Drosophila melanogaster: one gene and its partner. The protein of the gene in region 2 interacts with the protein of the main gene of each other region in a pairwise test. Each region holds a gene or a part of one and is shown on either strand. Other genes may lie near its edges.

Region 1 (3,286 bases), on a different chromosome or scaffold from region 2:
ATGAGTTCAATAGACCATCACTGAAGACCAAGGAGAGAACGATTCCTCCAGCAAACTTCATTTCGAGAAAGGTAGTGTACCCTGCAGCTCCCAATGAACTTCATTAACAATCTGATTCTTTGCAGAACTCTAAGCGTCGCAAGGGCTACATACGAAACCGACCGGTTGTTGTTAAGGGAAAACGAACCTTGAAATAAACCCAAAAAAAAAATAATTGTATTGATCTTTCACCAATATATATAACTTGGTTAAAACACTTTACACATAGCACATAGTTTGGTGAAAGTGTGTCCACCGCATCCTCATGTTGAGGGCTTTAATCGCCGCCTCAAATTCAACTTTCACATACTTCCCGACTCGTGCGACACAATTTTATCGAGTTGCTGCTTTCGTAAAATTTCCGGTTCCTTCGATTTAAATCTGTTCGCGGCTCCACCATTCATTGTCTTAAGCTAGCAATTCAATAAAGCAGAGTGTACATTTTTAAACCTTAATATCTATCATAGTTATTCATTTTTATTTGAACAGTAGCGATCTACAGCTCATAAGTCAAATGGCTAGTTAGTAGTGCTAGTTATCATTACGGCGACGTCGTTGGATTTTTCGTTCCAGGTCCCTGGACTTTTGCTTCTTGGCGGGAACGAATACGTCGGGCTCGTCGGGTTCATTTTGGTTAGAAGACTTGGGCTGAACCATGTTGGTATCGAAGTTGAACTCATCGTTGGAGTTGGCCAGTTGTCTGCGAAACACTGCGGCGCTGTTGGTGATCCGTGCTTTGGGATGCGAAGGAGGTAGCCACGAAACAGTCTGTGTGGTCGAGTTATAGAAGTAAAACGCCTTGCAGCCCTTATCGTAGACATCCTTCCAGCCCGCCTCCAGTGGATACTTCCGCAGCAATCTCTTGTAGCGCTTGAGATACCTATGGCTGGGCTGCGAAAGCGGCGAGCTGTTGAACTTGTTTACGCAGTACAGCGAGCACTTGTGGTATATGTTGTATTTGTTGGGACACAGCTTGTAGCCATGGTAGGACTCGTTCACGCCGATCCGCTCCTTGATGCGGTGCGACCAGAACTTCTCCTCGACGCTCCTGCGCTTGGGCTCCGGCGATGTGTCCTCCTTGTACGGGTAAGGGCCGCTCTTGTCATCGTCATCGTAGTTCTCGGCTATAATCTCTTCTATAGCTTCTGAAATCGGTGCTGCTCCTGTGGAAAGCTGAAGTTGGTTATCCTCTTTTTGGATTCTATACTGGTCTTTGTATTTACCCGACTGTTTGGTCACAAGTCCGCGCTTCTTCAGGCGCTGCAATAGTGCAGCTGGCAGGCTCATTTTGCTATTATTCTATTGTTAGTTTAAATAAATACGGTGCGGAAATAATATCAATATAAAATAATATGACCATGGATGTACGTGCATAAAATACCACACTTTCAAGAAACTTGTTTGTTTCAAAAGATAATTTTTTAAACGAAAAGTACTGAGATTAGATTATAAGTATATGATATATTGTTAAATATAAAAAATATAACTTTTGTTACTATTTTATTAAACCAAATTATTTCAAATAGAGAATATAATTTCACGGAATGGTATTTTGTGCCCCTGAGACGTATGGTCATATTATTTTCAGCTGCTCGAATAATATTTCAGGTCAGCTCAATTTGACTGATTATTATTAAATTGAACAGCAATATGGCCGATAACGCAGAACCACTGACTTTGTCCAGAGGTAAGGGTGCATGCTAACCATTCCCAGTTGGAGGAAACTCACACCCAATGCTCTAACTTTCAGATGTCAAAAGATCGATAGAGCTCTTGGAAAAGCTGCAAGCGAGTGGCGACTTCCCCACGACAAAACTGGCCGCCCTGCAGAAGGTGCTCAACTCGGACTTCATGACCTCCGTGCGGGAGGTGTACGAGCACGTCTACGAGACGGTGGACATCCAGGGCTCCCACGACGTGAGGGCATCCGCCACTGCCAAGGCCACTGTGGCAGCCTTCGCAGCCAGCGAGGGGCACGCTCATCCCAGAGTCGTCGAGCTCCCGAAAACGGAGGAGGGTAAGACACGCCCCTATGAGCTAAGAATCGAGGGGATTCCCCTATATCATAAAACCAATACCTTGATTGTAAAGGTCTATAGACCGAGAATATATGTTTCTATTATACATCTTATATGGAAAGCTTTATCAATCTTTAATTTTTGTTTTTCAGGCTTGGGTTTCAATGTAATGGGGGGCAAGGAGCAAAACTCGCCCATCTATATATCCCGAATAATACCTGGAGGCGTGGCTGACAGGCATGGTGGTCTGAAAAGGGGAGATCAACTTTTGTCTGTGAATGGTGTGGTAAGTCATTAATTCAGTTATGTACCTTAACTCCTTAAGAACTTGCAAAATATCAATATTTCAGTCTGTCGAAGGAGAAAACCACGAGAAGGCCGTAGAGCTATTAAAGCAAGCTGTCGGATCTGTAAAGCTGGTGGTACGCTACACACCAAAGGTTCTCGAGGAAATGGAAATGCGATTTGATAAGCAACGCAACACACGTCGTCGCCAATAAGGCACATCGGCAAAAACTTGTGCCATAGTAGTTTTTGCCATTAGACCATGCTGATATGCACGTATCAAGCCCTTTACGAATAATATAATTTAACACAAATACCATTTATATATTATTTATTACAAAGAAACTCTGGAAAATTACTCTTTAATCGTAAAAAGTGAGTGTTATGTATTTGTAACTAATTACCGCGTTGGTTTTTGTTCCAATAAATGTAATTAAAACTGTCAGACAATGCAAATCTTTTCTTCATAAGTTTCAGTCCATAAATGGGGCCCATTTCAAAACGCAACTTTGTAAATTTTAGTACGATTGCCGTAGAAAATATAAAAATACAGTTTTATTGCTTTTCTTTACAACGTATAACTTTTCACAATTTAGGAGAAGGATCGGTTCTTCAGCTTTTTAAGGAAATCCTTGGCCTGCTTATCACCTAGTCTGTATTCCAAGGCACGCAGTGATTCGGAATCTGAAAGCACATAACATGTATAAGTTTCCAGTTTTAATCTGCCAAAAGTATGATTAGGTACCTGTATACTCTGGTCTGGATAGATTCATCATTATTTGCTCGCCCGGTGGTGTCGCTTCCAGATCTGCGAAAGATATATAGCTCTCTGCTATATACTGGCTCGACATGCCGAATAAATCTTTATCTTTGATGCTAAATACAATAAGACTATTCTTTTCACTTCGCTGGTGGTCACTCAAGTTTCTGCCGAATGAAGGTAT
Region 2 (10,500 bases):
AGGGCTATGTGGAGCTTCTACGGCTTCTCATGCGCTCCAGGGAGTTAAATGTGGAGCATGGAGTTCTGGAGCAGCGTCTCCTGCTTGGCACTCGTGTTGTGAAGATCAACTGGAATCGGAACGACGGACGCGTGGAACTTCAAATGAGCAATGGAGAGACCTGTATAGCTGACCATGTGGTGGTCACGGTTTCATTGGGAGTTCTCAAGGATCAGCACCTTCGGCTATTTGAGCCACAGCTTCCAGTAGAGAAACAACGTGCCATTGACGGTTTGGCCTTTGGAACGGTCAACAAAATCTTTGTGGAGTTTCCCGAGGCATTTTGGCCCGAGGATTGGACGGGTTTCACCATGCTCTGGCGGGACGAGGATTTGGATGACATACGCGGCACTTCTCGAGCATGGTTGGAGGATGTCTTTGGCTTCTACAGGGTGAGCTATCAGCCGAGAATCTTGGCGGGCTGGATAACCAATGAGAGCGGCAGGCACATGGAAACCCTTCCCGTTGATGAGGTCCAGGCTGGCGTTATGTACCTCTTCCGAAGATTCCTGAGGTGGAAAATCCCAGATCCCGCGAATTTCCGCACCTCTGCCTGGTATACGAATGACAATTTTCGTGGGTCCTACTCCTATCGATCCATGGACACGGAGCAGCTGGGAACGGGTGCACGGGAGTTATCCCATCCCCTGACCGTGGTGGCCACCACTCCGGAGAAGGACAAGGACTCGGAGGACGAGGCGTGGCAGCAGAGTCGCTGCGATAGACCCATTGTCCAGTTCGCCGGAGAAGCGTCCAGCGAGCACTACTACTCCACGGTTCACGGAGCAGTCGAGGCGGGATGGCGGGAGGCCAGACGACTGGCCCAGTTTTACGGAATAAGCGTGTCCCGTTCTGGAACCAAATCGCAACTCTAGCTGTAGGCTAGGATATCGTAGAACATGTATAGACGACAGCGATACCTGACCCAGTTATACGTGTGGATGTAGAATTCTGTCTTCGCACTACAAGATACAATCAAGAAAACTGATCAGTACATCCTGGATAGACTTCATATGCCTAAGCTAATAATTTACACATTTGCCATAGGTTAGCATAGGTGACAGATTATATTTACGAGTTTATATGTACGTGAGCATGTCAATATGTCAACAAGTGCGCTGCCCAATAAAGCTGTGTTTAAGTCTTCTCTAACCTAAATAAAGTTAATATATACATCATCAATTGCTAAGCTAATGAAAAACGCTTCCCTCTCAATCGCATTTAAAATAGTTTTTTTTTTTTATTAGTTTCTCACTTGTTTTCAACAATTTGTCACTACGTTTTTGGTGAAATCAGTTTTCGAAATGAGACATGTCGTCACACAGAACTTCACATTGTATCCAATATGCTTCAGTTAGTGAGTGTATATACAACTGAGATACAATACGATTAGCTTTAGGTTTTACGGGGGGATTAACTCTGTACTTTGATTTCAACAACGTGTAATACATACATTTATAATTAAGTCATTCTTTGAACACAAATAAATTTTGTACAACAAGTTTATATAATTTAATTGTAAGTTAGATGCTGGTTGAGTTCAAATTTCCTTCACTTTCTGTCAATAATTATTGTATTCATTACATTGTTTTCACTGTTACGCAAAAAGGTACATGTCGTGAAAAGGACTAAGGCCGGACGGGAGTGCCCAGCAGGACCGCCTACGGGTAAATAGTGTCTCTTCTCCGTTTCTCTAGCAGATTGCTAAATTCGTATGGCAAAAATACTTTGGTGTTCATCAACAAACTGCATGAAATGCTTGTCCACATTTGGCAACCGATCTACTGCACCCACATGGATGGTGCCCATACCGGTTCGTTCTCCAGTCGCTGGACATTCTGGACCAGCTGCTCGAAAGCATTGACCAGTTCGCCGTTGACCAGCTCTACGTCGAAGAAGTGTCCGTATAGGAAATCTATGCGTTCGGCCGACTTGATCATGTCCTCGAACTCTTCGTCCGTAAAACTTCTGGCATTCGCCTCGTCGAATGTGGATTTGGCACGCGCCTCCGTTCGCGTAGCCTTCAGGATGTCCAACTCTGGTGGCTTCACATGGATGAGGAAGGGCTTCAGCTGAGCTGTGCGCAGAGTCTTGATCGCCTGGTAGTGCGGACTCAGCACACATACGCAGCCGGCATTCACAATCGACTTGACACTCTCCGCCGATGTTCCGTACAAATGGCCCTTGTACTCGCCGTGCTCCACAAACTTTCCCGCCTCGATGTCCGCGTCCATTTTCTCGCGGGCCACAAAGATGTACTCTCGTCCGGCCACTTCACCTGTGCGCATTGGTCGGGTGGTGTCTGAAAAAAACGAATAGGTTTTCTATTAAAGATGTTCGAAAAGAGGTCCATTTGTTCACTTGGTCATTTCTACACTAGTTCATTTGTTCACTTAATAAAACAAACTTAAGAAAACTTACACGGAACCGGACTGCGGAACTTCTCGGGATCCCGGGCTATCAGCCGGCGGCGCAATTCATTCCGCCCCACGCCGGGTGCTCCGATGAGCACTATGGGCCTGAAGACTCCGGGCCGTGGATACAACTTGGCCACCTCCTCGTACGTGGCGATCTGCTCGCGGTCAAAGTCGTCGTTCTCTGTCAAATCGTACATGATCTTTTTAGTCTTGGGCTGGCGGCAGGAGGAGGTGCTGCTACTCGCAGGCAGACGCGGGGAGCCAGGTGGGGTGGTGCATAGTGAGGCGCATGATCCGGCTGGCGATGGCAATGCATGGATGGGACCATTTGGAGTTGGGTCGAGTGTTAGATGAGGGGGGCACAGATGAAGAATGAAATTAGAGCAATTTTAGTCATGGAAAGACAATGAACAGCGAATGTTATGGAAGCAATGGGCTGGCAACGCGATATGCTTACGCTTCGAGTCCAGATCGGTGCCGTTCTTCTGTGTACGGTCGTGGAGGATACGGCGCTCCTGCAGCGCCCGGCTGGGAATCAAACCGGCTCTTGCCGAGCGCTCGTGCTCCTTGCGCGCCTGCCACCAGTAGGCATCGTCTTGGGCCACAATGTGCAACACATCGCCGCGCTGGAAGGCCAGACCCGCCTCCTTGCACGGAATGTAGGGATCCACATCCGGATTGTAGTCAAAGTGGGCCCTCACCCGCACTTTGGACTCGCGCTGGGCGCCCTTGTTGTCCGCGGGAACCAGCTTAAAGGTAATGGTGCCCTCCGAGTTTTGCTGGTTGTTTATAAAAGGTATGAAAATTACATCAAGAATGAGGTTTCTCGATCAATTCTAAGCATACTTACCAGTATGGTGAGCACATCGCCCGGCGTCTTGCCCTCCACGTTGATGTTGTTGACCTCGATGACCTCGTCGCCGACGTGAATCAATCCGGAGCGATCTGCAGCGCCGCCGTGCATAATTCTGGCGATGATTATCTTGCCCGACTCCTCGTCCGTTTTAATGGTGGCGCCCTAAAAGTAGGCAATTCGTGTTACTAGAAAGCCAACGCAAGGCGCGTATGTGTGCGTGTGGAGAGAGTGTGTGTGTGTGTGCGATTGTGTATCTGTGTGGAGTGCGGCTTCCGATGTTCTAGATGTGAGTGTATCTAATGGATGCGTCACAGCGACAAGAACAACGGAATGGGAACAAAGGATGGTAATGGTATCTTATGTGACATGTATCTTGGTGTGTGCACAGCTTCCTGGCTGTTGTTTGTTGTCTTCAGTGCTTGGCGAATGGGTTTTCTGTTTTATTTCTTACAGTGGACATTTTACGGCTATGGACATTCGATTACTTACAACAATTGGCTCCGTACTCTGTGCTCCTGTCTGTGTTTTTTTTTTTATACATTTTTGGATTTTTACATTTTTTTGTTTTTGTTAACGAATGCATATTTGTTTGGTATGGGCGAATTCGAGAAATTGATTCGATTTCATTCGATTTTAACAAAGGCAAAGTTGACAAAATTGATTAGCATTGAAAAGAGTTGACATGGAGGCGATAACAACAGTAGAACGAGTATGAATGGAGGCGCAGAAAGGAGCAGTTGGCAAAGGCGAAGGGTAGGCGGTGAAAGTCGGGGCGGGGTACGGAAATGAAAGTCGAAAGTGGACGGTGGAAAGCGATGGACAGCACAATACAGCGATCACGTCGATGAGATGGGCATGGAAATGGAAAGCGCTGGTGCCACTGGACGAACACTCACCAGGGGCTCGTTGCTCTTGACGAGCTGCACAATCTTGATGGTCTCCTCGTCCTCGTCCATTTCGACAGGCGCCTCCGGCAGGTGCGGGTAGAAGTCCTTCTGGGCAATCGCATCGTGGGCGAACAGAAGGTGCTGAAAATAATGAACTATTAATAAGAACGTTCATCTATCAAAATAAAACAGCTCACCTGCAGGTGAGAGTCCTGCAGCAGGTGAAAGGCCTCCTTGCAGTCATCGTTCAGATGACAATGCTGGGACAGCTGCTCCAGGACTTCGTACAACACCTGGGCAGAGGTGGAGAGCACCGGGGCCAGACGATCATCTCGACCCACTTTGGCCACCTTCGTGTGGACATTGACCAGCGCGTTTAGTTCCTTGGATTCAAGCAAGGCCTTCAGGAAGTCGATTTCCTGGTCATTGGATAGATTCTCCGACTCCTTGAGCGTGCTGATCAGCTTGGAAAGAGCTGCACAGCGAGCGAAAGGTTAATCAATCATTTTGGACTGACTGGGTGCGTCACTCAACTCACCAGGATCCCAGTTGATGTCCGATGCCATAACTGCTTCTAGCATGTCACACAACAGTCGACGAGTCACTGTCCTTGCTTATCCTTTACAAGTTATTCTTTGGCGCTGTTCCTATAATCGTGTTAACAAAATCGATATGAGACTTTAACAACAACCGGAGAGAGACTTCGTAAATTTGCGCATAAACATGTCAACGAGGGGCAAGCGGGCCAGGCCAAAGCCGAATGATAATTCCAGGCCCAAGGCTGCCACCCACCACCCAATAACCATAAACACCATAACCACCCCCACCCACTGAGAAGCGACTACTTTGCGTCACTCGCCAAAGGACACCAGACACTGGTAAATGTTGACGAAGTTCGTTTTGGATATTAAGATACAGTTATACTTGTTTAGGTTGGAAATATAATAGGATATTTAAAAATTGTAGATAAGAAATATTTGTCGTGTATCTTTACCATTATTAGTTTAACTACTGTTTGATTGTATCTAGCCATAAACTTATTTGAAAGAAATACATTTAAAAGCCAAATGGAATACCAAGCTCAGATTTATATAGTTCTCTACCATTGTCATCATCTCTTGAAACCACCTTAAAGGAGTCCCACTGTTTGGTTACCATAACAACAGTTTGCGCCCCGTTGAACCCGAAACATTGGAGCTGGGGAGCCCCACTGACGACGCCAAGTCTAAAGAGCTCCCAGCCAGCGGAACGCCAATGCAATTAGCTGACATTAAGCCCGGCCAAGTGGGACGTTCGCTGTTGTCGCCCATTGGCTTCTGGCCAGGGGGCGATATGATTAGAGCAGGCGTTGGATTTATGGCCACTTTCATCTGCCCAGTGGCCCGGAATGTTGGCGCCCCTTGTTGCAATCTGCACTCCATTAACTGTTCAATGACTGCGCATCCTGTTGCCGTGCTGCAGGACTGGTCTTGGCCAGGTGCCACATTCCAAGAGGTCACCAACACGCTGCCCTATTGCATGACCGGTGCTCATTAGTGTCACGCTTTGTGGTACGTGGGTGGTGATTAGTGTCAACTGAATGGACGCCTCTGGAGCCCAAGAATAGCGTCTCAAGTGTGGCACTCGCGTGTCCTTCAACTTGCCACGGCCTCTCGCGCTTCTGTTTCCCTATATGGTAATGAGAAAAACGCACATCTTGGCCCTCCGACACTTTCCGAAAGTTGGCCAACGACCTTGAACTACATACTCGTCGGCACACACAGCCACCCAGCAGAAGCACGAGCTAAAATTTCAATTTTCAGGGTTTCAGTTGCAGCGACGTCAGTGCGTGGGATCCGAGGGATGCAGCGCCATTTGAGGTTATTTTATTCCAGAGGGTGGTAAGTTTAAACCACAGGATATCAACCGTTGTCTAAACTACCACCATCGTGTACAAGCACTACCTTCTCACATCAATTACAATTTACTTGTAAAAACAAATGGGTTGTTTTAGGAAGCGCTGTTTTACAATTTGTGCAGATTTTTGAGAAATTGAGAAAATACAAACACACCATTTTGTATTGTTCAAGGAATCTCTAGTTAGCTAGTCTCTCTAGTCTCCATTCTCAACATATGTAGAATCTGGTTCAGAATTTGCTTTCTACGAATGATGTTACAGCTAGGTGTACAACTTTTAACTTGGTAAAGGTATTATTTTGGACAGCTTTCCGTACTTTCAAGGCAATTCCCTGTGGGGGCTTGTTGCATTTGCCACTATTACTGCTGTCAATCAGCCAAATGGCAAGCAGAAGCCAAGAAAGCGAGTCAAGACTGGCCCCAATCACACTAATTACACTGAGAAAAGCCGAGAGGGGCCAAGAGGTCTGGCGAAAAGCGGAATAATGACGTTGCCCGGGGTTCGTCAATTGCGAAAGTGGGTGGCATGGGGCGGCATAAGAGACAGTCCTTATGGCGAGTAGATAAGGCAGGTGCCAGGACTTCAACGCCCCCCAATCTCTCCTTCTATTTAGGGTAATTGAAAACTTCAAGTAATTGCACTGTGTTCCTTAAGTCCGAACGAAAGAGATAATCTGGTCATACTGAAAATAGCGGTGGCTTAAGAGAAAGTCATAAAGACATTGAAATCGCTGAGAGAGAGAGAGAGAGACTGACAGCTGAGAGAGTGTTAAAAGTTTTCCCCCGAGCATTCAATTAACAACAAAATCTGGCCAAAAAGAAGAAAACGAACAATAATTCGAATGGAGCTTATCACCTGGAGTTTTTCTGGGCAGTTGGCCAATACGATACAGACGGATTTCGGTTGAGTCCCAGCGTTGTTTTATTTTTAAATTTCCACTTCACTCGCAGACACTCACGCACACACAGAGGCACAAAAACACGGCATGTCTGCTATTTTCGCTATTTTTAGGCCTCTAATATTGCGCACTAGTTTAGTTAACCGTTAATATATCAGGATATCCTTAGACTCTTTGCAGCACTTCACATATTTCACAATAAGGATTATCAAGGTGATGGCCACCAGAGTCCGCCAGCGGGAATCCCAGAACGGCGAATAACGGGAGCGAGAGCGACTGCACACGACGGGCAAAGAACAACGTTTAATTTCAGGAATTCATTTCCACGTCGAGGGAACTGCCATCTCGCGAATCTGTCCAGCTCTTTAAAGAGCGCCAAACTTGGTACTCTTAACACTTACTCTTAGAACTAAATCCGCATACTATTTGTTATGGAAAACTTTGATAACTTATAGTATTGTGGATTTTAGTAAACAAGCTTTCTTTATTTAATATTTAAATGTAACATTTTGCAGATACAAATCAAAATGATAATAATAATCTATATTTTTAAACACATATGTATATTTCAAAAAAAATTCTTTTCGAAAGCATATCCATTGTAACTTATTGTATTTTGAAAAAATGTACTGTAATGTAAACCACTGTACCACTCTCTTTACAAGTCAAAACAAGAGTAAAAGAAATTTAGAGCGTGCTCGTGATATATTGAGTAAGTAGAAGAACAACGGAAATGAATGGGACGAAATGCACCACCAGAGAGTGGGAAATCATAAAGTGGGAGAGCACAGAGCGCCAATTGGACTTTTGCTGGGGGTGGAATCTGCGCAGGTCAGCAGAAATGCAGAGCGGAAGAAATACAGGGTGTTCAGGAGCAAGTTCTCAGGATTATGTTACCATAATTCGGCATATGAATTGATTGTTATTAATTAGCTTGTAAATACTTATCCTTAAGAAAGTGCGTCTGCTTTAGTTATAAACAAAGTCTCATTGTTAAAAATAAACATATTAATGGTACTAATACAATTTATTATAATTGGTTATTAAACTACATAGCATGCTTGTATTTATCCCAGCAGACCGCCACCAGCTAAGCCCGCTCCTCCAGCAGCACCAAGTCCGGCGAATCCTCCTCCAAATTTTTTGTCGTACCGGGCGCGGTATCCACCACCGAATCCCCTCGCTCGCACGCGATAGCTTTCCTTGTAGCGTCCAAAACCGGCACCACCTCCGATTCCGCCACCAATGAATCCACCTCCACCTGCTAGGCCAAGAGCTTGCGGCTGCTGTTGGATGAGGGGCACCTGTTGCACGACGGGAACCTGTTGGACAACGGGCACTTGTTGCACAACGGGAACCTGCTGGACTCCTCCGATGCCACCAACTCCGCCAATGGCTGCCACTCCTCCAACCGCTCCGATTCCACCTCCTCCCAGGGAATGGGCTTCAGTCCGCCAAGCGCCAATTGCCAGTAATAACAAAAAATGCACTTGAAGATCGCACCTCATCTCGGCTGAGTGTCCAATAACGATGTGAGTTACCTTAACTAAATCACCTGGCTTTTAATGCCCAGGCCGGCGACCTTCAGACCACAAACGATGACGATGATGAGGTGTGAACCACCTTACCAGTGGGCAAAACCATGATTCCCCCAATAGAACCGCCAAAACATAGATGGGGCCTTAGAGTTATGGGTTTTTTACCCGGGCGCCCCAATATGCAAATTGGAAGTGCAAACAGTGGCCACTAATTAATTTGCATAAATAAGCAGCTGGGAGTGGGGCAGACCAAACAGTTAACCCCATCATGTTGTGGCAAACTGTCTACCTGCTCGTCTTGGCGTGCGCCGTGGTCAGCACCACACCGATCCTCTCCAGCGTCGACGAGGAGAACATTAGAAGACCCCGTCACATTGGTGGATTTGGAGGTGGCGGAGTCGTTGGAGGCGGTATCGTGGGCGGCGGCATCATCGGAGGCGGAGGAGTTGCTGCCCCCATAGTGGCAGCCCCCGCTATCCAAACAGTTCCCGTTGTGTCCACTGTGCCCATCATCACCACTGTTCCCGTCATACAGACGATACCCAGCTATGGCTACGGATATGGCGGTGGCTATCCCGTTGGAGGAGGATTGGGCGGACTAGGTGGCATCGGAGGCGGCGGATTCGTTGGCGGCGCTGTGGGTTTTGCCAAATTCAAAGGCGGTTTCTTTGGCTAGACGTTTCCGAATAAATCTGAGCGTTTCTTGAGACCCTCTAGTGTAAACAATGGATAAACAAAAAAGTACTGCAAGATCGAGTTTCATTTTGCCGAGTGTTTGGAATCGACAAAGTCGATGAGCTTGCATATTCCGTAGTTAACTGGCTGTTATTTCTGGAAGAGTCTCTCGCTGCTATTTGCTTCCATATATATATGTACATATGTATGTCGAATATCGCGCGAGGCGAGGCGGATGGGCTTTTTAAGTGGTAAACAACAAGCCATCAAGCGATTACAGTGGGTCAAGTTGGCTGGCCTGAAGAGCGGTATCCAATTGTGGGTTATCGGATTGCTAATTGTAGTCTTTATCGACTTTTGTTGATTTGTCTTGTCATGTCAAGAATGTTCGTCTCAAATGGTATCTGGTTACTTGGTACTTCAAATATGGATCTTAAGAATATATTTTACTCTGATTATTATTATAGTAACCTTGCATCATTCACAGTTAATTATCTACCCATTATGATCTCAATCAGTTGCACATCGAGTTACAATCCAAAGAGATCTAGTTTGCGTTCCACGGTTGCCTCACACTTCCGCATCATAATTCATTTTATATACCCATTAAGATTGGGTCAACCTTATGTATTTGTATAAGCGATTTTTTGGGTTTTTCAAACCGACGATTATTCTCGGCGTCTTTGCCTGACTGCGATTGAAATTAGACGAAAAATGTAAAAAAAGACACTCAATGGCAATCAAGAAATGCCAATGAACTGCCTTTGTTTATGACACCAGGTGCTGGGTGTTCTTGGCAAATGTTTGGCTATAAATTAAAGCCCAGCTGGGCGATGAGTTTTAGTATTTGACGAAGTTGGAGAAGGAATACGACATCGAAATGGATCACAAGTGGATAATATTTTTCTTCAGCATTGCTGCTCTGCTCTTATGCAATTTTGTTAGAGCCGATGAAACGGAAACGGAAGTGGTGCAGGAGAAACCAAGCTCTATTCAGCTGCTGGACGCCGGAGAAACGGCCCAGTCTGATTCCACAGACGAGAACGTTAGGAAAGTGCGCCAGTACTTTGGACCACCACCGTTTGGACCACCGCCACCACCCTTCTTTGGACCACCTCCACCACCGTACTACGGCGGCGGCTTTGGTGGCGGATTCGGCGGTGGTTTCCAGAGAACTCGAGTGGTCACCCGCACCCGTTACCGCGGACGCGGTGGTTACTATGGCGGTGGATTCTACGGCTAATCAGTTTGCATGGATTTGATTGTGCTTGATTGTGATTTGTGATACTTCTT

What was found. The genes of interacting proteins can lie anywhere in the genome.
Region 1: the proteins of metro (region 2) and veli interact in a two-hybrid assay, tested with the Drosophila melanogaster proteins (2 studies listed by BioGRID).

Annotation. Positions count from the first base shown.
Region 1 is NT_033777.3:25,063,918-25,067,203, reverse strand, and holds veli (veli), read left to right. Parts: upstream 1-1,612; 5' UTR 1,613-1,689; coding exon 1,690-1,726; intron 1,727-1,789; coding exon 1,790-2,343; intron 2,344-2,407; coding exon 2,408-2,557; 3' UTR 2,558-2,786; downstream 2,787-3,286. Other genes in the region: Stt3B (catalytic subunit 3B of the oligosaccharyltransferase complex), read left to right, coding at 1-71, 126-197; PQBP1 (Poly-glutamine tract binding protein 1), read right to left, coding at 571-1,202, 1,263-1,326; stac (staccato), read right to left, coding at 2,935-3,026, 3,088-3,269.
Region 2 is NT_033778.4:11,225,203-11,235,702, forward strand, and holds metro (menage a trois), read right to left. Parts: upstream 7,315-10,500; 5' UTR 6,952-7,314; intron 4,847-6,951; 5' UTR 4,781-4,846; coding exon 4,738-4,780; intron 4,675-4,737; coding exon 4,397-4,674; intron 4,341-4,396; coding exon 4,209-4,340; intron 3,832-4,208; coding exon 3,802-3,831; intron 3,475-3,801; coding exon 3,307-3,474; intron 3,236-3,306; coding exon 2,914-3,235; intron 2,755-2,913; coding exon 2,461-2,754; intron 2,342-2,460; coding exon 1,821-2,341; 3' UTR 1,256-1,820; downstream 1-1,255. Other genes in the region: CG7737 (uncharacterized protein), read left to right, coding at 1-914; CG13218 (uncharacterized protein), read right to left, coding at 8,062-8,502; CG13228 (uncharacterized protein), read left to right, coding at 8,801-9,208; CG13227 (uncharacterized protein), read left to right, coding at 10,088-10,450.